Rattus norvegicus: one gene and its partners. The protein of the gene in region 2 interacts with the protein of the main gene of each other region in a pairwise test. Links are inferred from orthologs where the notes say so. Each region holds a gene or a part of one and is shown on either strand. Other genes may lie near its edges.

Region 1 (4,287 bases), on a different chromosome or scaffold from region 2:
AGAAGAAAGCTTTTAAAGCCAAGTCAGCTTGCAGGGGCATTTGTGAGAAATGCATGCTTTCTGGGCCTATAGGTACATAGCAGGACACAGACGATGGCCACTCCCCCTTCTCTCAGGAGCTGCATCATGCTAGAACATGTAACCCTGAGACCAACTTTACCTTCCCAGGGAACAGTGACTCCAGGGACTGTTTGAACCCCACTGGCCAAGCCCATTCCCCCAGACCAGACTTCCGAACACCACAGCTGTCATTCAGGTTTCCAAGTGGCTCTCTCAATCTAAGGGAATGCCACAGACCAACAAGGTCCCCAGGCTGCTGCATATATGAGCAGAAAGCTCAGGACACACTCAGTCAGCCCTAGGCTCTCCCTGTGTTCTGCTACTGCCTACCTGTCCTTTCCTCTGTTGCTCTAGAGCTTGGATCTGGGATCTTTTAAAAGTGTGCACACTCCACCTGCCCCATCATCTACTGGAGCCATTAGGGTACAAGCTCACCCATCTTCCCTCAGGCCCTGCTGATTCCTGGGCTCTCCCGGGTACTTCCAAGGCTCTCCCAAAACCTGCTAGTCACTTGGACCAGCCCAGAGCCTCAGAATCCCTCCACAGGCCAATCAGAGCCAAGAAGGCAGTGCAGAAACTGCTCGATGGCCTCTGAAGAATTGCCTTTCAGTTCTCCAAATGGCAGCCTGACTGGGTCTGTAGGTCTACTAGTTTGTGTAGCAGGTTAGGGTCAGCAGAAGGAGCCTTCGGTGTTGAGGAGCTCCCTCAACTCCTGTACTAGAAGATACTACTTGTCTTGCCAGCTCCCGATCCTGGACTAGAGGGCCACCTTTTAGCAGCATGGGGGTTGACCTTTCTTGGAACTCGTCCTGAGTTTGTCACACAAATTCTAAAAAGCACCTGTGCCCGAGGAGAGGCCATGGTTGTGTCAGATGCTGCCTGGGCACCACCTGGATCTGACCCTTCTGCTTCCATTCTCAAAGAACCTCACCCTAAAGGCTGACTCAGGCACCCTCCCATGGGTGACCTATCCATCTCTCACACTAGCCTGCCATACCAGGGCCTGTCCTTCAATTTGCCAGGACACAGAAGCCTTATAGTTTCAGAACTTCCCTTCCACATCTGGAATCCCAGCTTTTCAACTGAGCTGGCTGAGAATAGACTCTGAGCAATGACCGAGGAGGGAAGGGCTGTGTCTGCCTGCCACCCCTCAGGCTTTAGGCCTTGAGGGAGTACATTCTGTCCAAGGAAACTTTAGGGGAGGTGCACCCAAGTCAAGTCAGAGAGGCCCTTTGCAGCCCCTGCCCCTTGCACCCAGTTCTCCACCCCAGCAGAAAATGGAAGGCTAGGACCTCATCCAGGAACAGGGAACAAAGGTGGTTAAGTGGCCCTGCACGAGTAATTGCATCTGTCTATGCCTTGGCTTCCTCAGTTGTAAAATGGAGATCAAAATAGGGCTTCATTTACAAGGCTGGGTCAGACTGCTTACTTGTGTATATGGCAGAAGCATTCAAGGGCCTCAGCTCAGGAATGCTACCATTCCTATCAGCTGTGGGTACTCCATGCCACAGGAACCTGAGCTCTCAATCTGGGCTTCGGGGCAGACAGAAGCTGGGGCCAGGCCATCTCACTGTGGAAGCTTGGGACAGTGAGGCATCCAGCACACTTATGTCCTTCTGCAAACTGCCCAAAGCAGGAGACCAGGGGCTGGGGCTCAGGCAGTTGCTAATTCAACCAGTTCTTTGCCAGGCCCAGGACACCACAGAAATGGGTCCTTGTGCCAGCCTCTCTGTTTCCCAAGAACAGACAGGCCACAGGAATGAGCCGCACCCTCTGCCAAGGGGCCCTGAAGCCCCCAGCCTGCCAGGGAAGCTCTCACACTGACCACACAGGAGTAGCTGGGCCAAGGTTGGCCCCCTAGACAGTGTCAGGTGTGCCATGGCCCCCACTGCAGCCAGGAAGGTGGAACCTTTAGGAGTCCCTAAACCTCAGCTTCAGGGCTTCCTCCAAGCACAAGGGCAAGGCAAAGAGAGTGTAGTTGGGCCTGGGGACTTTTGGGAGAAGTAGCTCCCTGCAGCACTTCGCGACAAAGACAGCCCTATACTTGTAGTTGGAGTTTCCCTGTCAATAGGCTGCGCAGGACCCGTAAGTACCAAGGGAGAGATCTCTGTCCAGGCTCCTGGGGATAAGGTGCAGGGCCTAAGTGCAATGCCAGCTCTGAGAAGTGCAAGGGAGGGAGGAGTCCCCAGTTCGGCCCAAACGAGGGAGTAGCGGTCGGCACCAACTGACAACTCCTCTCCGGTCTGGAAAAGTCCAGAACGGCTATAGGCGAGCGCGGCCGCTGTACGCGTGGCACTGTTTACGGCGGCGGGGAGGCGCGGCCGCGGGAAGATGGCGACGCGCGGGCGGGGCCGGCACCTCCTCCAGGCCGGCCGCCCGGGTGCGCGCAGGACTACACTGGGGACGCGGAGAGGACGGGGGACACTCGGGCGGGGCTGGCCTGAGCTGGCTTGGCACAGCGCGCGGGGGTGGGAGGTGGGGGTTGGGGGCGGTACCTGTTGTTCGGGGCCTTGCGCACCAGGCCGGCCGTCTTTGTTTTCTTCCTGGCGAAGTCACCGTCGAAGGGCAGCACCGAGGCGTAGCCGTGCTCGGCCTCTGCGGGACAGACGGTGCGGTCAGCAGCCCCCTGCGCCCGCCCGCCGCCCACCCACCCTGGCACAAAGGGGCGCGGGCTACCTCGGTCCCTACGCTCCAGGTACTCGGCCGCCTCCAACAGCAGCAGCAGAGAGTTCAGCTCCATCCTGCCGCCCGCGCACGGGACGGCGGCGGCGGCTGCCCGGCGCGCTCCTGCCGGCTCTGCTCGCCGCACGCCCCGCGCCTGGCGGCACACCAGCGCGACTCGCGGACTCCAGCGCTGGGCCGCCACCCTCCGCCTCAGGCCCTCAAATTGACACATAAGTAGAGCAGCAGTCGACACAGCCAATGGGTGTGTGCGCTCTTTCCTAGGGGGCGGGTTCTTGGCAAGCCTTGGCCAATAGGGACTGGCCGAACGCCTCGGGCAGGGCTGAGAATGTTGACAGATGCGAAGCTTGACTGGGATAGGCTGGCTCCAGTAGTAACAATTTAGAAGCCCAAGCTTAGCAACAGCACGTGGTGGCCCAGCCCCAGTGTTCGCTGACTGGCGGCCATCGTGCATGTTAAGTAGGCATTGCACACCGATTGGGCCAGATCGGTCTATGTAAATTGGGTCCCCGGACCAATGGCGGGCGACGGGGCGTGGGGCCAATGAGGACGCCCGGGCAAGACGGGTTGCCGAGAGGAAGCACTGCGCGGTGGGACTGCTGCCCGGCCTACGCGGGGGCCAGGAGGACGTGGACCGTGTCTCGGGAGACACCCCGCAGGATGCGCTGCGGACACGCGCCCCGGCGCTTTGTCGTGCCCATGCATGTCGTGCGCAACGACCTGTTGCCGGGAGTCAGCTGTACCATAGTCTAGGTGGAGGACTGGGCTTGGGGCCTGATTGGGGCGGGAGCTGGGATCTTGCTTAAGAACTGCAAATGACACCTGTCTCTGCTTGAATAGTGGCTTCTGGGGGAGGCTAAAACTTGGGACGGGGACGCAGACCTTTGGAATCTAAAAGCCTCTTAGATATCAGACCCAAAGTAGGTAGGATCAGCAATCAGGGGTGAAAAGGAAGGTCACCAGGCTTAAGGAAAAGGCACCAAGACCTACTGACACTACTGCGCGAGAGGGATCCGGGAGTGTAGTCTGCTTACGGTGCTTGGTCTGAGGGTAGGGCCATTCCAAGAGCCAGGCTATGGTGATAAGAGAGTGAGCTTTTCAGCAAGCTCCTGGCTGTCTTGGTCACTCTAAGCCCTAATTACCCGGACTCCTCAGACTGGCCTATAGATAGATGCATGGGGGAAGGGAAGCTCAAGATGCCTTAACACCATCTTTGTATCCAACCCCTCCCACCTCTTGATCCTCTCCGTGTTTTTAGGTTGAGGACAAAACAGCAGGCAGGAGAGGTGTGTGGGAAATAAGGTGGCTAGACAGCAACCCTTAAAATGGAAGGGGGCTACTGTAGCAAACAATAAAAATTAACATTGATCTTTACTTTATGACCAGCCTTATACATGCTTCCTTGTGGATCTCCATATGCCCAATATGCAGATAAGGAAACTTGCAGAGCCCCCTTGAAATAGAAAAATGGAGATTAGTGCTCCCACACTCAGGGCTGTTAACAATCTGGGAATGTGGAAACCAGAGCCACCTCCCTCCCAGTCT
Region 2 (3,500 bases):
CAGGCTCGGACTCTGAGCTGGAGTCTGAACCCCCATCGAAGGCAGAGATGGTGCCGCCCTTGGCGTTGGTGTAGAGGCTGTTGTCTGAGGAGGGGTAGTTGGTCTGCAGTTGGGCACTTGATCTTGCCTTCTCCAGTGCACGGACTAAAAGGCAACCAAGGGAGCATGTTACCCTTCTGGAGATCCGGAGCAACCAAGTCTCAGACTCAGGGTCCAGCCTGTTCTTCCTAAGGGTTTGCTTGCTGGCCCCCAAGGCACAGGGTGGCTCAGAAGTCACTCCCTTCTGGTGGCTGTTCCACCTGCACACTTCCGTTTCCCCTTTTCCTTTCCCAGATGGGCTTGGGGGCCCAGCAGACATGGCCAGCCTCAGCCATACCACCCTGAAGAGAAGGCTTGTGATGAGACACCGTCCTGCCATGGACCCAGCATAGAGACCAGAGCAAGAGTTCCCTGTTGGACTGAGCAATGCAATGACAGAGAAGAAGCTAGCCCAGCAATGCTAGGCTCTGTGAAGGTGAAGGCCCAATGATAGCAGGAGAGGATGACACAACAGATTGGGTCAAAGAAAACTTTTGGCTTGGCTCTCATGAACAAAATCCACTTGGAATGACAAGCTGGACACTTGGAAGCAAGTCACCAATACACACAAAATACCTGGGCCTTCCAACAGACACCCCTACATGCAGGCTGCTTGGCCCATCATCCAACCCGCTGCCGCCGCCCACTGCCCATCCCTTGGTTCAGCTCAGCTTGAGCCTGGAGGATTAACCCTTCATGTTATTTTATGTGAGATGTTCTAACCCAGGTGGTTACTTGCATTTCCTTTTACTTGCATCTTCCATGAGGGAGGAAGAGAAGTGAATTCCCCAGGAACAAAGAACTTGATCAGCTCTCGCTTTCCCCTGTGGTTGTAGGAAAAGGCGGGTGTGAGCATTGGAGAACAGCAGGGGCCTGGCCCATAGGCTGCCCTGATTGGACTACTATTGACAAGGGGGAGGGCTCACTGTCCCTGAACTCCTGGAGACTCTGGTACTTACATGGCACATTCTACTGCAAGGACCTCAAAGCTCTGTTCAGATACCTGACACCAGGTGTGACCCTTACTGTAGGCAAAGAACCTGAGCCCCAAGAAAGGGAGAGATCAGGCCAGAAAAGATACAAGCCTTTGGATGTTCAATCCCCTAGCTCCTCCATCTCCTCACTGGAGGGTCTGGTCCTTCCTCAGGATGGCTCTAACACTCAGGGCTGAGGATGCTTCTGAGGCATGGTCCTCTAGCTCTGACGGAAGGCTCAGGTTTTGTGAAAGCCCCAGCCTGGCCGGGGCACAGCAGGGCCAGCTGCCCCACGAGCTTGCCTGCTCACCTTGTTGCTCCAGAAGAGCATTCTGCCGCTTGAGGTCATCAATGTCTTGCTGGTGCGTATGGTTTTTCCTTCGCATATACTGGATATACTCTGTTGCTTTGTCTAGGATTTGGGCCCGGGATGCCTGTTGCAATATGAGAAAGATTTTTAAAAAAAGAACAAAATAAAGACTAAGTTTACATAGCAAGAGAACCATGCCCTTCTCTGGCAACAGCATGAGGGAAAGAAAGGCTGGAAACAGGATGGTGGCCATGATGGAAAAGGCTGAGGAAAGAGTAGAGGTTAACTGTGGTCTTTATCCAAAGTGTCAAGCAACTCACAGAACTTACCTACACGGAGACTCAGGAGCTCTACCAGGAACCCAGGGCTCAAGAGAGCCACACTGGCTTATTTAAAACCACCAGCTGGTCTGGGAAGGCCTGGGCTTAGAGTCTATCCAACTATTGAACTTCTCTCATCCCCTCTGGATCTTTTTCTTATAGTTTTTATTTGTTTGAAACAGGGCTTTAAGGCGAGGCAGAGGCTGGAGAGATGGCTCAGTGGTTAAGAGCACTGTCTGCTCTTCCAAAGGCCCTGAATTCAAACCCCAGTAACCACATGGTGGCTCACAACCATCTGTAATGAGATTTGATGCCCTCTTCTGGTGTGTCTGAAGATAGCTACAGTGTACTTATATAACTATAATACTAAATAAATCTTTCAAAAAAAAAAAAAAAAAAAAAAAAGGCCAGGTAGGCCGCAGGACCCCCAAGTACTGGGATCGCAGCCATGAGCTACACTCTCAACCCTCTGGCTCTTTAGTTTGCTTTAAAGTCTTCAGCTTGTCCATGCCCGAGACAGGCTGGTCTTGAACTCACTACGTACTGTACTAAGTATACCACTCCAGCTTCCAAGTGCTGGGATAACTACTCCCAGCTGTATATGGTGATCTGGATGAAACCCAGGGATTTCTGTATACTGGATGCAGCTCAACTGCATCTGAAATAACGGAAAAAAAAAAAAAAAAAAAAAAGCTCAGGCCACACTGACTTTGCTCGGGCCTGGCCATAGCATGACAAGATCAAGGGCTGGCATAGCATTGGCTTGGAATGAAAGTGGGCACACTTTTCATTACAGTCTTAGACTTCACCAAACCTTCAGACTATCAATCGGTCAGTAGCTCAACTGAACAATGTTCCTGTTGTTTCACCATTTTTACCTCCTGTCTAAAGAGAAAGCTGTAAGCCCTTGATGTCAACACAGGAAGGACATGTAATTGAGACATCCCAGGAAACAGCCACACCTGTACAATTAGAGCAGGTGGTGTGGTGTGGGCCTGGCTCATCAGGGAACCAGGTTAATAAATAGGCCAAAAAGTGGGCAGCAGGTTACTCTGCATGCACTGTGCCCTGTGCCCCCAGAATCGCACTTGTTGGAAGGAAGGTTCCTACTAGGTTACACATATGGGCAGGGTTAGAGCAAGGGTACCAGCTCAACACAACTGCTATGCATATAAGCCCAAAACAGGGCAGTGGAGTAGCCCTCAAGTCTAGTGTCCCTTCCAGAGGCCAAGCATTCAAAAGCTTTGCCCTCAAAAGGGTCATTCTTGACAATTCTGCTTTCCAGTCCAGTGCTCAGAAACAACCAGAATCAGCGAGGGGAAGGCAAAGAACATACCAGTATTCAAACTAGCAAACCTCAATTTCCTCACATTAAAACATTTCTAATGATCAACTTACAGACCTTAGGGCAGACGAGGTGAGGTGTACAAGGCCTAAATTTTTACCAGCCATTTACAATTCCCAGGTTTTCCTCTTATAGTACCCTCAAGGTGATGTGCTCAAGGGGAGATCATTCACATTCATTCATTCATTCATTTTATCTGTAAGAGTTATGTGCAAGGCATACACTGTGGAGAAACAAAACGTATAGTCCCAGTTTCTTTGCCCATAGGCTTACTGTCTAGTGAGAAGATAAGTATTATCTATATGCAGACAAGCCACAGGCAGTGCTGACAAGTGTGCTGACAGATTATAAGTGTCACCGAAGAGGCAGTTCCTGGGAGTGACAACCCACCATGTGGTAGACGCCGGCCTCAGTGTTGCACACTGCTCATGCTCCAGATGAAGCAGTGAACTAACTGTGTTAGACCAAGGGCA
Region 3 (4,283 bases), on a different chromosome or scaffold from region 2:
ATTCTTCTAATATTACCATTTTCATAAACACAACACACACATACAAACACTCATTCTCTTTTTTCTTGTTTTTTAAAATACAGCCCAGGCTGGTCTTGAACCATTTTAATAAACACACACACACACACACACACACACACACACACACTTTTCTTTTTTTTTAAATGTAGCCCAGGCTGGTCTTGAACTCACAAAGATCTGTCTGCTTCTGCTCCTGAGTGCTGTGATTAAAGGTATGCACCACCCACCAGGTTTGGCCTTTAGTGGACAGTTTGTTGTTGGTTTTTTTTCACAACAGGGTTTCTCTGTGAAACAGTCCTGGCTGCCCTAGAATGCACTTTGTAAATCAGGCTGGTCTCAAATTCACAGACATCTGCCTTTCTCTGCCTCTGGGATATTAAAGGTGTGTACCACCCCACTGGCCTGGTGTACATTTTTAACAGGCCTTTATTTTTATTGTTTGTTTTTTTAAGTCAGAGTCTCACTATGTAGCTCTGGCTGTCCTGGAACTCATTCTGTAGACCAGGCTGGCCTTTAACCCAGAGGTCTGCTTGCCTCTGCCTCCCAAGTGCTGGGATTAAAGGTGTGCACCACCGCCCGGCTTTTATTGTAAAATGTTAGTATTTTTCATCGGACTTACACAGATGCACCCAAATGTTCCCAGACATGACATATTATTTGGGTCCTTAAGTCAGCGACAGAGTGCGTTCCTATATGTAATACCACATATCTTGCTTTTCCGTTTACCAATCAGCAGAGCCCTGTCTGGTCACACACGATCATTTCTCAGAAACAGCACTGACCTAGTCTGTTTAGTTTTGTTCTCTCCTTGCTGAGTATACAGGCAAGTCCCAAGTCTCTCTTACTATAAACAAAACTGAAATAAAAGTCAGACATCTGGGGGTTGGGGATTTGGCTCAGTGGTAGAGCACTTGCCTAGGAAGCGCAAGGCCCTGGGTTCGGTCCCCAGCTCCGAAGGAAAAAAAAAAAAAAAAGTCAGACATCTGAAACTCCAACACTTGGGAGGTGTAGGTAGGAAGTTAAGGCCATCCACAGCCATGCAGCAAGTCCAGGACTAGCCTAGGTTGCGTGAAACCCTGTCTAAAAAAAGTAAAAATAAAAATGTTTTTGGAAGCAAGAGAATCAGGGGTTCGAGGCCAGCTTTGGCCACGTAGTGAGTCTAAGGCTAACTAGATCATCACCTGTTTCTTTACAGCTTTGATATGCTAATGTACTTCGGCCTTATGGAGCCAAATCAATTCCTACTTTCCCCAGGTACTGTAAGAGCCCACACACCCACATCCACACCACCTACCTGCCTCATTCTTTGCCAAGTACAAACGTATACATACACCGAAGAACCACACTTCAAGCATTATTATTATTATTTTTTTGGTTCTTTTTTTCGGAGCTGGGGACCGAACCCAGGGCCTTGCGCTTCCTAGGTAAGTGCTCTACCACTGAGCTAAATCCCCAGCCCCCACTTCAAGCATTATTAATGTGTGTTTGTTACCAGTAGCTCCCGTCTGGAGCACTGTGTCTATATCCTTGACCCAGACCCAGGAAGTCCCCAACTTCTCTTGGCTCTTCACATACCTTCTCCTGAATCTGGCCCCCAATGTTCCTCAGGGACTCCTGGAAAACTTTGTTCTTGGGTTCTAGGCTCACACATCTCTTCAGGTCAAGGACAGCCTGGTCCAGGCGGCCCAGCTTCTCTAGGGCTTGGCTTCGTCGATAAAGTGCTTTGACATCCCCACCGTCCTTTTCAATGGCTGAGCACAAACAGGAGCTCTATCAGCACCCATGAGGCCACCGTCTCCAGGCAAGAGCAGTAAGGATAGATCTTGAGGGCCAAAGGAAGATAGGGGTACGAATGTGGAGCTCTGTGCTTCAGCCTCAGAAAAGGTGAGGGCAGCTGCAGAAAAGGAAAGGCCGAAGAAGTGGGAAAGCAAGTAGAAAGACGAGTGTCTGGGACCAAAGGAGGAGAAAGGGATGGCTCGGTGGTCCCAGAGTCCTTGCCCACCACAGAAAACCCATTGCTCCGTACGAGGGCCCACACCCCCCTACCTTTAGATGCCTCTGATTCTGCTTTGCTGTAATCTTCCTGTAAGAAAGATCAGGAGCCTGAGAGGAACTAATCGAGTGGCAACGACACCCCTGTTTTACTGAGCCACCTGATCCCTCACCACCCATGCCTAAAGACCACTGGCAATTGTGGGTGGCTAGAAAATGCCCAGCTGCTGCGCACAGCAGCGGCTATGGACAATCCCAGGCACAGGTAGAACCAGGTTAGAGCAACCCGACCCCCTCACCAGCTTGAGGTGGCAAGCAGCCCGGTTTCGGTGCAAAATAGCCTGGTCCTGGGGTGTCGCGCCAAGACTCAGGGCCTGGGTGTAGGCGGTCAAGGCGCCCTCGTAATCCCCGCATTTGAACAGCTCGTTGCCCTCCTTCCGCAGCTCCTCGGCTGAGCTGGCCTATGGAGAGAAAGACGGTGAGCAGAGCAGCGCGGTTGGAAGAGGAGCCGGGTCCGGGCAGAGTCCCATATAGGGCTAGAAAGAAGTGACGGAGTCCAGGTACGAAGGCGCATGTGCGAAGGGGAGATGTCGCAGGAGAATCAGTACGCACCCCGGGGTCGGAAGGTCGGGGCTCGGGGGTCCCCGGACCACTCACAGTCATCACGAAGCTGAGCTCCAAGAGCCGGTGCAGGCACAGTCACTGGAGCTAAGGTAGCCCTGGGCTCCGGAAGATGCCGGTGACTGCCCCGCCCCAGCAATGCGTCAGGGTTACGCCAAAGAAGGCGAGGCCAAGAAGAGGTTGCAAGGGCAGGGTACTCGGCCGCGTTGCGCAGGCGCGGGCGCAGGCGCACGGTCAAGGATGCTTCCCGAGCGTCTTAGTCTGTTCCCACTGGGACCTGTAGGGGGCGCGCGGCAGAGGCCCGAAAGGAAAGGCGGCGGCCGCGGGAGTTTTGCCTTTCTCTCCGTCCCGGACCACGGCAGAAGTGCACGAAATCTGCAGTCATCAATGCCATCAACAGTAGACTGTAGATGCCCAGTGCTAAGAGCGGGCCTGGGCCTCTAGGGAGAGAGGAGAGAATCAAAATTGTACACTGGCTGCACTGTACAAGTCAGGGTTTACAGAGCCAAGAGTCCCGAGAAAGCGCGGGATAAATATAGACTATGTGCGCATATTTTGCAAACAAATTTGGGAGCTCGCAATACCTTGAAGACGAACACGGCTAGATTCAGAATTAAACCCCCTACTACAATGTGTCCATGGACTACAAGATCCTCTTTATTAACACCGTCCAAACCCCTTAGGACATAAAGCAGCTTCCGTTACTTCGTTTTCAATTTTTACAGTATTGTTTGTAATTATGATTTAGGTGACTTCCTCTCCACTAGTCTGGAAGCTACAAGTCTCCCAACGCAGAATTCAAGGACAGAGCCCAAAACACTGAAGCGCCCTGTCAGTGTTCTGTGAATCTGGGGGCTAGAGTTCTTACCTGAGGATGGGTGGGGGCTGAAGAGTAGACAAGTTTACTTGGTACAGGGCCTCAAATTCATCCAGGGTACAGCAGGAACCCCCAGCAGCCTGCAGGTGGCAACAGTAGGCTTCCTCGGGAGTATCAGAGAGGCGAGGACAGAAAAAACCAGGGTAGTGGCGGCCTTCGGCATCCCGTGTAGTCTGACACAAATGGGGGTGGTGAGCCAGTGCTGGAGAGAAGCAAGACGTCTATAGAGAAGGGAGGTTACCCACATCCCTGGCACCCTGTTCAAAGTGCAAAATGGGGTCCAAGTCCCTAACAGAAGAGAAGAGGAGGCTCTCTCCACCCACCACTGGCAGCTCTCCCAATTCCCCAAATCACCCTCAGAGGATAGGGAAAGTATACCTGAGAGGTCGGTTGGCTGAGCGAGGTTCATCCAACTGAAAAGCAGTCCCACACACAGGCCTGTCAGCAGAAGCCCTGGATTCCTCTGGAGGCCCATGAGAAGTCACCTCCACCTCAGTTGTAGTCCAGTATGGGAATCCAGTATGGGTTCTAAGCCTTGGCTACAGACAGTAAGGAACCTGACATTAAAGTACCAAGATTCCCAGAAGTGGAAACTCCTCTGTTACAGGCTTGTAGGAAGATGAGAGTGATTAGGGCCTATCATCAGCTGGGAAATGTGAGGCCTTTGGCTCCAAACTGCCTACAAACTGGCTCCAAATTTCCTAAGCAGAAAGGAGGAAAGGAATGCCAAGGGAGAAAGAAAAGAAACGAACACGTAAAGCCAAATGTGTTT
Region 4 (3,974 bases), on a different chromosome or scaffold from region 2:
TGCGCAGAACAGAACCCAGCTCCAAGAAGGAACTATCAGGTCCCAAGTATCAGTAATGCCAAAGTTAAGACATCCGTTAGAAGAGGGACGTGGAAAGAGGGTGGTGGTTGGGAGCAGCAAGTGGCTGCTTTTGAGTGTGCTCTCTGCTTGTTATTGTCTCTGATGTCAGTTACACTTCAAGAGAGGAGAGCACAGGAGGAGCAACCATCGCCAGTAGAAAGCACTGAGTGATGGGATTATTTCATTTAGACTTCACGATGAAGCTTACTAAATAGGTGTTTCCTGGGAACAAGGAAGGCCCATGCCTGTTTCTCTCAGTACCGTCTACATAGAGTCTGGTCCAGTGCCTGGCATGTGTCTCAACATCGTGAATACATGGAAGAAATAAATTCATCTTATATGAGAGGGAAAAAAAAGCTTGGGGTCCACTATGAATACAATACCAAATCTTTACGTCCTTTCCTTATATCATCAGAACAGGTTTTCTGTCTAAAAACACCAATGAGGCACGGAGGAAGAATACAGAGTGTCGAAACAGGGAAAGAAGGACCGAATGGACGTCCTCTCTGACTCTCATTAAATGATCTCATGTTTCTGAACTGCGACTTTTGTTCGTCAGAGTATCTGTGGTTCTGTCCTTATAAATAATGTTACTTTCCTCTTTTAGAGGGTGAGAGTACCCAGACACTGACGTTTCACAGGAAAGCAATAGATAGAGAACTCTAGGCCCAGAGCACCATCTAAGGAATGAGTCTCCTTGGGAGAAGACCCAAGTCTTTTCCTCAGAAGCAAAGTCATGTAAATTTTTAGTCTTGCCATTCTTGGAATCTGGAAAGGAAAGCCAAGGAAAGACTACATCTCCCAGAGGCCATCGCGGAGTGCTCCACGCGCAAGCGCATGGAGGCGGCCCCGTCCCTCGACACCCGACGTGTACTGGCTTGGGGGCGGGACTACATTTCCCATGGGGCAGCGGAAGGGGCGGGCAGGGGCGGGACCTTGTCGCTGCTCCGGTCCCTCCCCCGTGCTCGCGCGGAGAAGTAAACAAACCGCGCGCGGGCTGCAGGCGGCGCGGCGGGCGCGGCGGGCACGGCTAGGGCGGCGGAGAGCGCGCCGAGCCGGAGCCGAGCTGGCCCGCCCGCCCGCCGCACATGTCCAGGGTCGTCGTGGGACTGTAGCCGTCTGTGGCGCCTCCTGTCGGCCGGGGGCGGGAGCGCGGAGCCCATGGAGCGGGTGCGGATGATCAACGTGCAGCGCCTGCTGGAGGCCGCGGAGTTTTTGGAGCGCAGGGAGCGAGGTAACGGCTGGACGCCGTCGCTTCGACCACAGCCTCGGGCTCCGCGCGGGGAGTGCGGCGCGGCTGGCAAGGGGAGGTGCGCGCGTGTGTGTGGAAGTGCGTGCACCGGTGAGGGGGAGGCGCGCGCCCGCGCGCGGCAAGAGGAGCACGCGCGTGTGGGAAGAAATGTGCGTGCGTGTGAGGTGCACGAGCGTGGAAGTCCGCGCGCTGTTGGAGAGGTGGGTGCGCCGGGAGGGAGGTTTGCTCTGGAGTGCAGGTGAGTTCCGGAGTGGAGGCGTGCAAGAAGCTCGCGAGCGAGAGCAGGCGTGTGTGCACTTGTGCATGAGGTGTGAGTGGGAGCTTAGGCAAGGGAGAGGGGGCTTTAGGGGAGGACCGGTGGCTCTGGGCTGCAAGGGAAGGACTCTCCAGTCGCGCAGGGGCAGCTGCTGAACGGACCCGAGGAGAGGGCGGAAGACGCTGGACCAAGAGCTCTTGCAACTTGAGACCGCACTGGAGAGTGAAGGGGGTGGGAGCTGGGGAGGTGTGGGTGCAGGAGGCGGGGTCTGTACGAGCCCGGGGGCGGAGTGGAGTGGGGGTAATGCCGGCTGAAGAGCTGCGGGAGGGGCTCCCTGCTATTGTGAGCATGGGGTACAGTGAGATGGTGTTGCCTTGGAGGTGAAGATAGGTGGAGGAATAGGAAGACAGAGGAAGGAGTGTGAAGAGCCTAAATGCTGCTGTCAGGAGAGAGGAGGTCCTTACCGAGACGTTGTGGTCAAAAGAGCTGGGGCACGCAAAAACGTTGAGGCTACAAAGGCACTGAAGAGGTGACTGTAGTTAAACCAAGGGTTTCGGATTGTTTTGTTTTGTTGGTTGGCTGGTTTTTCGGGACAAGGTTTCACTGTGTAGCCTTGACTGTCCTGAAATTTTATCTGTAGACCAGGCTGGCTTCAAACTCAGAGATCGACTGCTTTTGCCTCTGGAGCGCTGGGATCAAAAGCAACAACCACTACCACCTGGCTGGGGGGATTTTTTTTTCTAAGGCGAGTGAATGGGTGGGTAGCTGGTATTAGAAATTAGGATTTTAAAAGAGAATTCTTGGTACTGGAGCGATGGCTCTGCTGATAAGAGCCCTTGATACTGATTTGGAGACCCAGGGTTGTTCCCAGTACCCATATTGAGCTTTTCTTTGCAGCCTGTAACTCCAGTTCCAGGGAGATCCATGTTTTTTTTTCTGGCTTCCCAGAAAACATGCATAAATATACATGCTTCTGAACAGCTATGCACATGTAAAAAAAAAATAAACCTAAAGAATTCTCGGAGGAGAGGGTTTTGGAGAGGAGTGAGAAATTTGGTTTGGAAGAGTTAACGATACATTCTCTTGGCAGTGGGCTGGGTATGTAATTTTTTTTTCCTTTGGGTAGGGGCTTGCCGCATAACCCAGGCTGGCCTTGGACTCGGCCTCCTGGGTGCTGGGGTTAAAGGGACGTACCAACCTTAGCTAAACAGTGGGATTTTATCTTCTAACCAGAGAGTAGGAACATTTTATCTTTTCTACTTAAAAAAAAAAAGTGTTACTACGAGGCCTTTGGATCTGTGGGTCTTTTTTTTTTTTTTTTTTTTTTTTTTCTTTTCTTTTTTTCGGAGCTGGGGACCAAACCAGGGCCTTGCGCTTGCTAGGCAAGCGCTCTACCACTGAGCTAAATCCCCAACCCAGTCTGTATTCTTCGTAAACTTTCTTTTCCCTTACTGTTTTTTAGAGTGTGAACATGGCTACGCTTCATCATTCCCCTCCATGCCGAGCCCCCGGCTACAGCACTCAAAGCCCCCACGGAGGTTGAGCCGGGCACAGAAACACAGCAGTGGGAGCAGCAACACCAGCACTGCCAACAGGTAGCAAGATGGCGGAGGGGGCGTGAGGGGACAGGCGTGGAGGGGCTCAGACTCCAGGCCTAATCCCATGGATCTGTTTTCTCTCTAACACCACCCTGGCTCTGTGTGCAAAAAGGGAATCTAATCCCACAGAGGCAACTGAAATTGTTCTTGCTGGTTAGTAGGGGGTCCCCATCACTAGAGGATGGTAAGTTGAGACTTGGTAGCTAGCCTGTGCCCATGCTAGCCACATGCTGAGAGTAATCTTGGATCAGCTTTCATTTTTCTCTCCAAGTTCAGGATAGTCCAAGAAGAATCTTTTAAAATTAGAAATAGCCCCGGCAAGATATAAAAGAGAATCAAGGGCTTTGTTAAAAAAATAAAAATATCGGGGCTGGGGATTTAGCTCAGTGGTAGAGCGCTTACCTAGGAAGCGCAGGGCCCTGGGTTCGGTCCCCAGCTCCGAAAAAAAAAAAGAACCAAAAAAAATAAATAAATAAATAAAAATATCTAGCTATGTTAATGGGACTGGCCCATTTGTTAAGGAGGAGGGGAAGGACCCTGTTGTATAACATTTGAATCTTACTCAATGGAAAGTGGTCGGTATGGAGGTTTTAGCAGAAATAAAGAAGACTCCTTCCGGGATGGACTTCTTTTCCAGAACGTGCTTGTTCAGAGGAGCTGAGACGTAACTGACTTCCGCTTTTGGTAGAGTCTGGCTGATTTTTCAGTATTTTGATTCAAGGATTTGTGTCAATATGCAGTTTTCAAGAAACCTTAAGAGAAGGGTATTTTCCATTGATAGGAGGAAGTTAAAGGAGACCGTTCTTTC
Region 5 (4,255 bases), on a different chromosome or scaffold from region 2:
TGGCATCCTGACAAGCAAAACTGAAGGATGTGGCCACACCTAGGTTTTCCCCCCACTGCACCCATGGCCACAGACCTCACAGTATCTGATCTCCATTTCTTTGAATAATGGAGAGCCAAGTTTTCTCACATCAAGTACTGTGAAGTGCTGCCAACTGAACTGCATCGAGATACGAGACAAAGAGACGACACCTGGAGGCGCTCGTTAGCACTTGCTGGGCTCTAGGTTTGATTCTTAACCCATACAAAGAATTTTGGCTTGTTTGTTTTAAAAAATACAAGGGGAGAATAAGCCAGAGCACTCAGGACAAGGTACAAAAGAATACATGTCCTCACCTAGACTAAGCTACAGGGCTGGGTACCATCAAGGCAGAGGGACCCTGGGAAGTTGCAGAGTCCAGCTTTGTCTCTGGTTGGCCAGGAGAGAAGCCTTTAAAGCTGCCATGAGACCGCTTAGAGCCCAGAAAAGCAAGGCTTGCATTAGGGAGAGGCTTGAGTTTCACAGGAAGCGGGAAGTGAGGCTGTGTCCCATCAGGGATCCCAGCTCGAGACGGCCTCAGCCTCCGTAGATGTGCACGCAGAGTAGAAGGCAGCTCAGGAGAAGCTGCCCAAGAAACGGCTGATGCCCAGGTGCCAGTCAACCCCTCTGGGTAGCACATTTCATCTACTTGAAAATGAGGTCGAACAATCTCCATGGGAGAAACCTAAGCCTACATGAGAACCAGGACAACTGGAAGTGACACAGGCACGTATGTGACAGCGCAGACATGTGCTGAACAGGAATGGCACTGACTGTGCCCGGCTCTTGGAAAGAGCCTGACAGGGAGGTGCATAATAAACACCGAGAAACAGGACAGGCGTTAGGACTGAATCTGCCTCTCGGTCTGCTGTCCCTTCAATCTGACTGTCGCCGTTTCCTTCCCTCAGATGGGCCCAGAAAGCAGGAAACAGTCTTTTGTGTTGCCAAGGTAGCTTCTAACACGCCCACATGGTCCGCAGAGCCGAAGCCTTGGCGTCTGCATACCCAGTCCTGTCCACCAGGGGGCCTGCAATTCCACTCAAGCAGCAGCAAGGCCAAGTTCACTTGTACTTTGCCTCCAAGCCCTCCCACCTCACCTCCCCACCCCCCGCAAGACCAGCAGAACCCAAACCAGTAAGCCCTGAAGACAGGAGGAGAGGCTAGTACCAGCCCTCTGCGATCTGCCAAATCACCTGGCTTAAAGACAGTATTTTCACCAGCCATCTACTCCCTGCTGAACCCAACAGGAAACAGACTCGTCCAAGGTCTCACAGCTAAGACTTAAGTAATATTAACCAGAACAAAAGGACCGTTCACAGCGCGCCAGAGCAGCCCCGCGTTCTGCTTTTCTTCCACTTAAGATGGGTTCGAGAACTAAAAGCACAGGGTTGCCTCGAGGCACACAGAATGGAGGCAGCTCTCCAGCCAAGCCATCCACAGCACGACGCTGTCTCACAGGCACACTGGGGACAGCAGGCAGCTCTTTACCTGGATGTGCATCCTGGCCCTGCGCAGCAGGCTCAGTGTAGTATATCGGGTATGGTCAACTCCCAAGGGCATCTGCTGCCTCAGTTGCTCTAAGCACCGCTTCAGCTGGGCTCTCCTGCAGGGGAAGGAGTCTGGAGGGCAGTTTCAGCCCCACCTCCCCAGGCAGAGGGATGGCCAGGGAGGGAAGGTCTGAGAGAGATGGTCCTTGGGACCTGGTACTGTTGGGGGCCAGGTGGGACTCACCTCCGTTTCTCCAGCTCATTGTGCACATGCCTGCAAATGCCAAGGGGGAGAGGTGAGGGGCAGCTTGTGCTGTGCAAAGCCTCAGCCTTAGGTACAGCTCCAAACTCACTACCTGTGCCAAGTAAGGCTTTCGTGGGGGTCTAGGCTCATTTAGGACACCAAACCCCAGGTAGTGGCAAAAGGAATCAAACACACACACACACACACACCGAAAGATACAGGACACTTGCCCAGGTACTTGCAGGGTCTCCCCCTGACAGCCAGGCAAGACAGGTCCCCCGGAAAGATGTGATACTTGATCAAAACAAAAACAAAAAAAAAAAACCAAGCCTGCCAGAGAAATCAGTAGGAGGGAAAACCATTTAAAAGGAACAGAATATGCAAAAGGACAGAAAAGCAGAGCAGAGGCCTGTAGGGGAGTGCGTTCGTGTGTGTGTGTGTGTGTGTGTGTGTGTGTGTGTGTGTGTGTGTGTGTGTAGAAAAGGCAGAGGGAGCAGGGTACCTGGCCCAGAAGAGCAAACAAGTGAGGAGAATTAGACGGGCCAGCTAAGGATCAGCATCCCTCCTTACACTGCCCCATCCCTGCTCACCGCCCACTGTTGAGCGCGCCAGGAGCTTGCAGGGGTGCCTTCCTCCTCCTGCATACGGTCCCGGGACTGTGGTGTGGACACAGGGACGCATAACCGTGCTCCGCCTCTGCCAGAGAGAGAACACAGCCCGTCAGCTGGAGCCCCTGGCACGGCGTAGTCAAGGAAAGGCTTTTGGCGCCAGGATCTCCCCAGTCACTCCATGCCCGGCTGCCTACGAACTCCTATGGATGTGCGGGCAGCAGCGCGCTAGCTGCCCTCGAGCCGCGCTCCATCCAAGTTGGGAGCCAAATGCAGCCCGGGCGCGGGGTCAGTCCTCACCTCTCTCGCGCCTCTCCAGGAACTCCGCTGCCTGCAGCAGGACCTGGATGTTGCTAGCCACGGGTTCCATGTCGGCGACAGCCGACGGCGAGCGGGATAGGGATGCTGGCCCTGGCAGCCGCGTTACCACTTTTGTTTCAATGTAACTGACACGGTGCCACTAGTAGAGGGCCCGCCCCGCCCCGGCCGCCCCGCCCCGGCCCCGCCTCCGCCCCGCCCCTGGGAACTGCGTCCGCCCCGCCCAACCCCGCCCAGCCAGCCTCTTCCCGCCCAGTCTGACCCGGGCTGCAGCTCGGCGCTCTGGGGACGAGCCCTCCGCCGGGCCGAGCAGCCTGGACATTGGGTGCTGCGAGCTGCCCGGCTCCCGCGACAAGCAGTCGCGCGGGTCCTTGCAGGCGCGGGCCTGGGCTGCACGTGCGCGGGGCGCGGCCACATCCTCGGGGCGGGACACGAGCCTCAGAGACTGGGTTGGCTGGCGCGCGGTCCCGCCCTCTCCCGCCGCGGGGGCCCCGCTCGGGCGGGAAAAGCCGCAGGTTTCAAATTTGAAAACCCGGACGAGGAGGGCGGGGGCGAGCGGTGAGAGATGGCGATGCGCACGCGCCTGTCTTGGGGCCAGGACGCTGGACAAGGTAGGGGCCGCCCCGCATCTGCCCCTCGTTGGTCCTCGAATGGGAATCCCTCCCGGTTCTCCCGTCATTTGCAGGGAGGTTAGTGTCGTCGGGAAAACGTCTGTTGTTAACAGCTTCCGAAGCCAGGGCATGAAACACACCATCTCGCCCTGGGTTCGCCCCGGGTTCTGGAGCTCCTCCGCGGTCGCTGCTAGGTGTGACAACTCGGGAACGTGAGACAGCCTTGCGGAGGGGTTAGAGCTAATGCCTATGTATTGCCCAGCAAGCAAACAACCATCTCATTAGGGCCATTGCAACCAGACGGCCCATGGGAAGCCCATCTAGAACAAGGCTCTCCTAGCCATCTGGTGGGTAACCAGGGGTAACCATACCTGAGTCAGGAATGGAGGGGATTTCTCAGAGTCCGCTGGACTAGAGATGGGAGGGCGCGGGTTGGGGGGTATGAAAAGATGGTCTAGGTAAGCCCAGACACGCGCCAATCAGGCCCCTTCCAAAAAGGCTCTCTTAAAAGTCATCGCCAGAGAAATCACCAACCCTTTTTTTTTTTTTCTCTCCAAGAGTTGCAGTTACTGTGTAACAGTTTGTAGACTGAAACAAAGGCACTGTAGCTATGGAGAGAAACACCGGAAGATCCGCCCAGGCACAGAACAGGGGGATGACCCCTAATGCTCACGTGACTTCGGGATGTAATTCCCCTTGGAAGAGAGAGAGGAGGAATTGACACAGGATCTCATTTGCAACAATCTCGCTTCAAACTTGCTATGTAACCAAAGATGGCGACTTCCTGATATTCCTTCCCACTCCCAAATGCCAGGATTTCAGGTGAGCACCATGTAGCCAGCGAGTACCTAATCTTGTTTCTCTAAGACAGCACACACTCAATGCAGGCACAAATCTCATCATAACAGTACCCAGGAGACTTTGGCCTCAGAGCAGGATGGAGACAAAATTGTTCTCCAAGGAAAGGTC
Region 6 (3,500 bases), on a different chromosome or scaffold from region 2:
AAGCCATAGTTTCTTTTCATTGTGAATTCAGGTCATTTATTTTATTCTGTAATGTTAAAACAAAGTCTTCTGGTCTATACACTGAGCTGTCAGAAGAATTAAAACAAAAAACAAAAAAACAAAAAACAAAACAAACAAACAAACAAACAAAAAAACCCACACCTTTCTCTAAAACATGAGCCTACCAAGTAACATTAAATTAGTATAGCTACTTCCAAAAACAAGGTAAAAAACAACTTAAGCAAGTTTACTTTGTTCCTTAATTAAGACAATGAAAAATGGACAAGTTCAAAGAAATTACACTATTCCTTTGTAAATTTTTACAAACACTATAACACTATAACACTCTGACTCTGTTACCTAGACCAAACTCAATTCTGAGCCTCAAGCAATTGTCTGTCTTAGTCTTCCAAGTGGCTGAGACTATATATAGATACACACCACTATGCCGACCTTAACTTTAAAAAAAAAAAACCCTTAAAAAGTTCCAATTTATTTTTCAACCTGTAATAAATTTAAGAATATCAAGAATTCGGGGCTGGGGATTTAGCTCAGCGGTAGAGTGCTTGCCTAAGAAGCGCAAGGCCCTGGGTTCGGTCCCCAGCTCCGAAAAAAAGAACCAAAAAAAAAAAAAAAAAAAAAAAAAAAAAGAATATCAAGAATTCACATATAATAGCAGTTATGTACTTACTAGAAACATGTTACATGTAGACTGTTATCAGAACTAGGATTTACACAAGCTCTTAGGAGTTATTTGTGCAAAACCAAAAGTTCAAAGTTACTACTTAAAGTTAGGTTTCTTAAAAATCATCTGTAATTCATTTAACTAGAACTATAGCCAAGAGATGTTCAGTCCACTAAAATAAATTGATGTTTAGCTACATTAAGAAAAGCAAAAAATGTTTCTCTTACCTGTAGCCTGGTCTCTTCTTCTGGAAAGAATCAAAGGTTTCCCCCTTCTATTACTCATAAACATCTGTCCAAGATCTACAGATGATGAAGATCCCTCCAGCTGTGTACTAATTCTGGGAGACAGACCAAACTCATCTGACCCCATCTTCTTTTTTCTTTTTTGCGCCTCTAGTGCTTGTTGTTTTGCATAAATATACTCTAGCTTCTTCAGGACCACTTCTTCTGTTTTCCCTGCAGGTAAATAGGAGTAAAGCATCACTCTGTGCATGATACCACAAAACAATGAGAAATACAGTTAGTTGAAATCTAGTTGATTTAATTATATTCCCCCAAACTCTGAGAGGCAAGTGATTACAATTCAGAAACTATGATAGGCTCAGTCAAAGCTAATCCTGCTGTAAGCCTGAGATGCCAATCCTAAACCTCAACAGAGTCTGAAAGGCTTGGAGTCCTTGCTAATGCTGTCACTGTACTCTTTCTTTCCCAGAGATGCTTATGTAGCTTACCTGAAAGAGATGATACTTTCCGGATTAAAATACTTCGTTTTCGACTCAGGAGATTTTTCTGCCCTATCAATTTATCTGCCTGGTCTGTTAGTCCTTGAATTTCACTGAATGCCTAGAATAAAAACAGTAACGTCAATGGACCATTTACTTGTACTCCAAAAAGTACAGGAGGCCTACACAATTTATTTAATGAAAGTATTTTAACGTAGTATTTTAGAGAACATTATAAAACAACTAATCATGTTTCAGAAATTGAATAATACATTGAGCCACTGGTTCTGGTGCTGGGAATAGAACCTCAGGGCCTTGTGCATGCTATGTAAAGAGTTCTATCTCTGAGCTACACCCCCAACTCAACAGTACTTGCTAAATTATTTTCTAGCTTATATTTTTAGGGAATGTAGAGAATGATTATTTCCAAAGATCATCACTGAGTGGTGAACAAGTTTTCCACTACTGCAAGGAAAAATATAAAATACTCATGTTCTGCTTAGATTTTAATCAAATTTAAAAATGTTCACAAAATCTGTTTCATTTCAATAAATATAAATGCTAGATGTATACTTCCCCAACTTCTTAAAAGTAATGAAATGATGTTGCTTTTGATGGCCTATATGCAAAGTTAAAACTTTACTAAGCTGAGTAGTTCATTTTCTTTTTAAATATCTTTATTAGATATCAAGAAGTGTTACGGATTATGGATGCAATTATTTGGTGGTAAAGTGCTTGCCTCACATGCATCAAACCATGTTCCATCTCTACTGGAAAAAAATGTGTGCACTAAATTATTTTTGTACTATGCACTTTACACTATGATAAACTGTACTAAATACTTTAAGGAATAATATAGAGACTAGCACACAGACTTAGTCTAAGTTTAAGACATGTATTATTCCTCAGCACCATCTTCCTTTTCTTGACATGATCTCTCACTGCCCTGGAGCTCACCAAATAGGCTAAGCTGGCTGGCCAGTGAGACTAGAGAATCTGCCCAGCCAAAGCTGAAATTAAAAGTATGTGCCACCACATCTCCCTCTCTTTTTTTAATGTAGACTCTGGAGTTATGGAAATCAAGTCTTCATGCTTGCAAGGTAAGCACTTTGTTAACTGAGCTATCCTACCACTCCTCGGCTTCTAACTTAAGACTTAAATATTTGGGGCTAGGGAGATGGCTCACCGGGTAAGACAACAGCACAGCACTTACCTTACAGGCATGAGAACCTGAGTTTGAATGCCCAGCACTCATGTAAAAAGCTAAGCATGGCTGCACAATCCTATACAACCCAAGCACTGAAGATCCCAAGAGTTCCATGGCCACCCAGCCTAGCCATAGAGTCAAGTTGCCAGTTCTATGAGAGACCCTGTTCAAAGTAATAAAAAAGATGCCCAACATCCTGCTCTCATTTCTGCATACACACACATGGGAACATGTACCCATGAGCTTGCTTGCTTACCATCACCACTACCACCACCACCACCTCCACCAACCCCCATCAATCTTCCCTGTTCCCCTGCCTCCATACTTAACAGTAAACGTGAAGTTATTTTGACTTAATTTTTTTTCTCTGTAGTATTTATTGCTTATTTACTAGTCCTGTTTGTGATACAGCATCACTCTGTAGCTCATGGCAATCTTTCTGTTCAGCCTCTCAAGTGCTGCCATACCAGGTATAAGCTGCCATGACCAGCCACTAACTTCACTCAACTGTTAAATAGAAGTAACTCTGCTTCCATTTCTCTCATATGATAATGAATTTTCTTTCTCATCGTATCTGTAAGTTTCTCTTAACTGAACTTACATTTGTGTATGCGATTTCCACAATACTTACCCGATTAAGAATGAGACTTTTGGAAACTTTGGAAGAATGAAGTAATCCTAATGTAATCTTCAATTTTTCAAAGAGATCCCTCATTTCACCACGCCGCCGCCGCTCATTAGCAGTGTGTGTCCGCCGGTAATATGCAAAAGCTTCTGTTTCTTTGTGTGGCTTATCACTCCAACAATCATCTTTCAATTTTGAAGAAATTAATGAAACCTGTCCAAAAAGAAAGTTTCCTCAGAACCTTCCTCCATCCCAAAGG

What was found.
Region 1: the proteins of Max (region 2) and Mxd4 interact in a two-hybrid assay, tested with the Homo sapiens proteins (2 studies listed by BioGRID). The link is inferred for Rattus norvegicus from reciprocal best matches to the Homo sapiens genes MAX and MXD4.
Region 3: the proteins of Max (region 2) and Unc45a interact in binary tests that used the Homo sapiens proteins (3 or more experiments, as listed by UniProt). The two-hybrid records come from large-scale screens. The link is inferred for Rattus norvegicus from reciprocal best matches to the Homo sapiens genes MAX and UNC45A.
Region 4: the proteins of Max (region 2) and Mxi1 interact in binary tests that used the Homo sapiens proteins (3 or more experiments, as listed by UniProt). The link is inferred for Rattus norvegicus from reciprocal best matches to the Homo sapiens genes MAX and MXI1.
Region 5: the proteins of Max (region 2) and Mxd3 interact in a two-hybrid assay, tested with the Homo sapiens proteins (4 studies listed by BioGRID). The link is inferred for Rattus norvegicus from reciprocal best matches to the Homo sapiens genes MAX and MXD3.
Region 6: the proteins of Max (region 2) and Mga interact in binary tests that used the Homo sapiens proteins (3 or more experiments, as listed by UniProt). The link is inferred for Rattus norvegicus from reciprocal best matches to the Homo sapiens genes MAX and MGA.

What each region holds. Positions count from the first base shown.
Region 1 is NC_086032.1:80,785,450-80,789,736, reverse strand, and holds the start of Mxd4 (max dimerization protein 4), read right to left. Parts: upstream 2,801-4,287; coding exon 2,737-2,800; intron 2,656-2,736; coding exon 2,556-2,655; intron 1-2,555. UniProt on the Homo sapiens protein: Transcriptional repressor. Binds with MAX to form a sequence-specific DNA-binding protein complex which recognizes the core sequence 5'-CAC[GA]TG-3'.
Region 2 is NC_086024.1:101,371,291-101,374,790, forward strand, and holds part of Max (protein max), read right to left. Parts: intron 1,487-3,500; coding exon 1,363-1,486; intron 903-1,362; coding exon of another isoform or gene 818-902; exon of another isoform or gene 145-817; coding exon 1-144. UniProt on the Homo sapiens protein: Transcription regulator. Forms a sequence-specific DNA-binding protein complex with MYC or MAD which recognizes the core sequence 5'-CAC[GA]TG-3'. The MYC:MAX complex is a transcriptional activator, whereas the MAD:MAX complex is a repressor.
Region 3 is NC_086019.1:143,703,101-143,707,383, forward strand, and holds the start of Unc45a (protein unc-45 homolog A), read right to left. Parts: upstream 2,801-4,283; 5' UTR 2,677-2,800; coding exon 2,626-2,676; intron 2,475-2,625; coding exon 2,313-2,474; intron 2,105-2,312; coding exon 2,068-2,104; intron 1,916-2,067; exon of another isoform or gene 1,773-1,915; coding exon 1,597-1,772; intron 1-1,596. Other genes in the region: Shisal3 (protein shisa-like-1a), read right to left, coding at 2,891-3,074, 3,503-3,713, 3,890-3,986.
Region 4 is NC_086019.1:262,347,468-262,351,441, forward strand, and holds the start of Mxi1 (max-interacting protein 1), read left to right. Parts: upstream 1-1,174; 5' UTR 1,175-1,221; coding exon 1,222-1,294; intron 1,295-1,953; exon of another isoform or gene 1,954-2,097; intron 2,098-3,030; coding exon 3,031-3,163; intron 3,164-3,974. UniProt on the Homo sapiens protein: Transcriptional repressor. MXI1 binds with MAX to form a sequence-specific DNA-binding protein complex which recognizes the core sequence 5'-CAC[GA]TG-3'. MXI1 thus antagonizes MYC transcriptional activity by competing for MAX.
Region 5 is NC_086035.1:9,305,097-9,309,351, reverse strand, and holds the start of Mxd3 (max dimerization protein 3), read right to left. Parts: upstream 2,801-4,255; 5' UTR 2,728-2,800; coding exon 2,658-2,727; intron 2,446-2,657; coding exon 2,340-2,445; intron 1,780-2,339; coding exon 1,750-1,779; intron 1,622-1,749; coding exon 1,507-1,621; intron 1-1,506. UniProt on the Homo sapiens protein: Transcriptional repressor. Binds with MAX to form a sequence-specific DNA-binding protein complex which recognizes the core sequence 5'-CAC[GA]TG-3'.
Region 6 is NC_086021.1:127,387,558-127,391,057, reverse strand, and holds part of Mga (MAX gene-associated protein), read right to left. Parts: intron 3,455-3,500; coding exon 3,248-3,454; intron 1,531-3,247; coding exon 1,419-1,530; intron 1,144-1,418; coding exon 913-1,143; intron 1-912. UniProt on the Homo sapiens protein: Functions as a dual-specificity transcription factor, regulating the expression of both MAX-network and T-box family target genes. Functions as a repressor or an activator.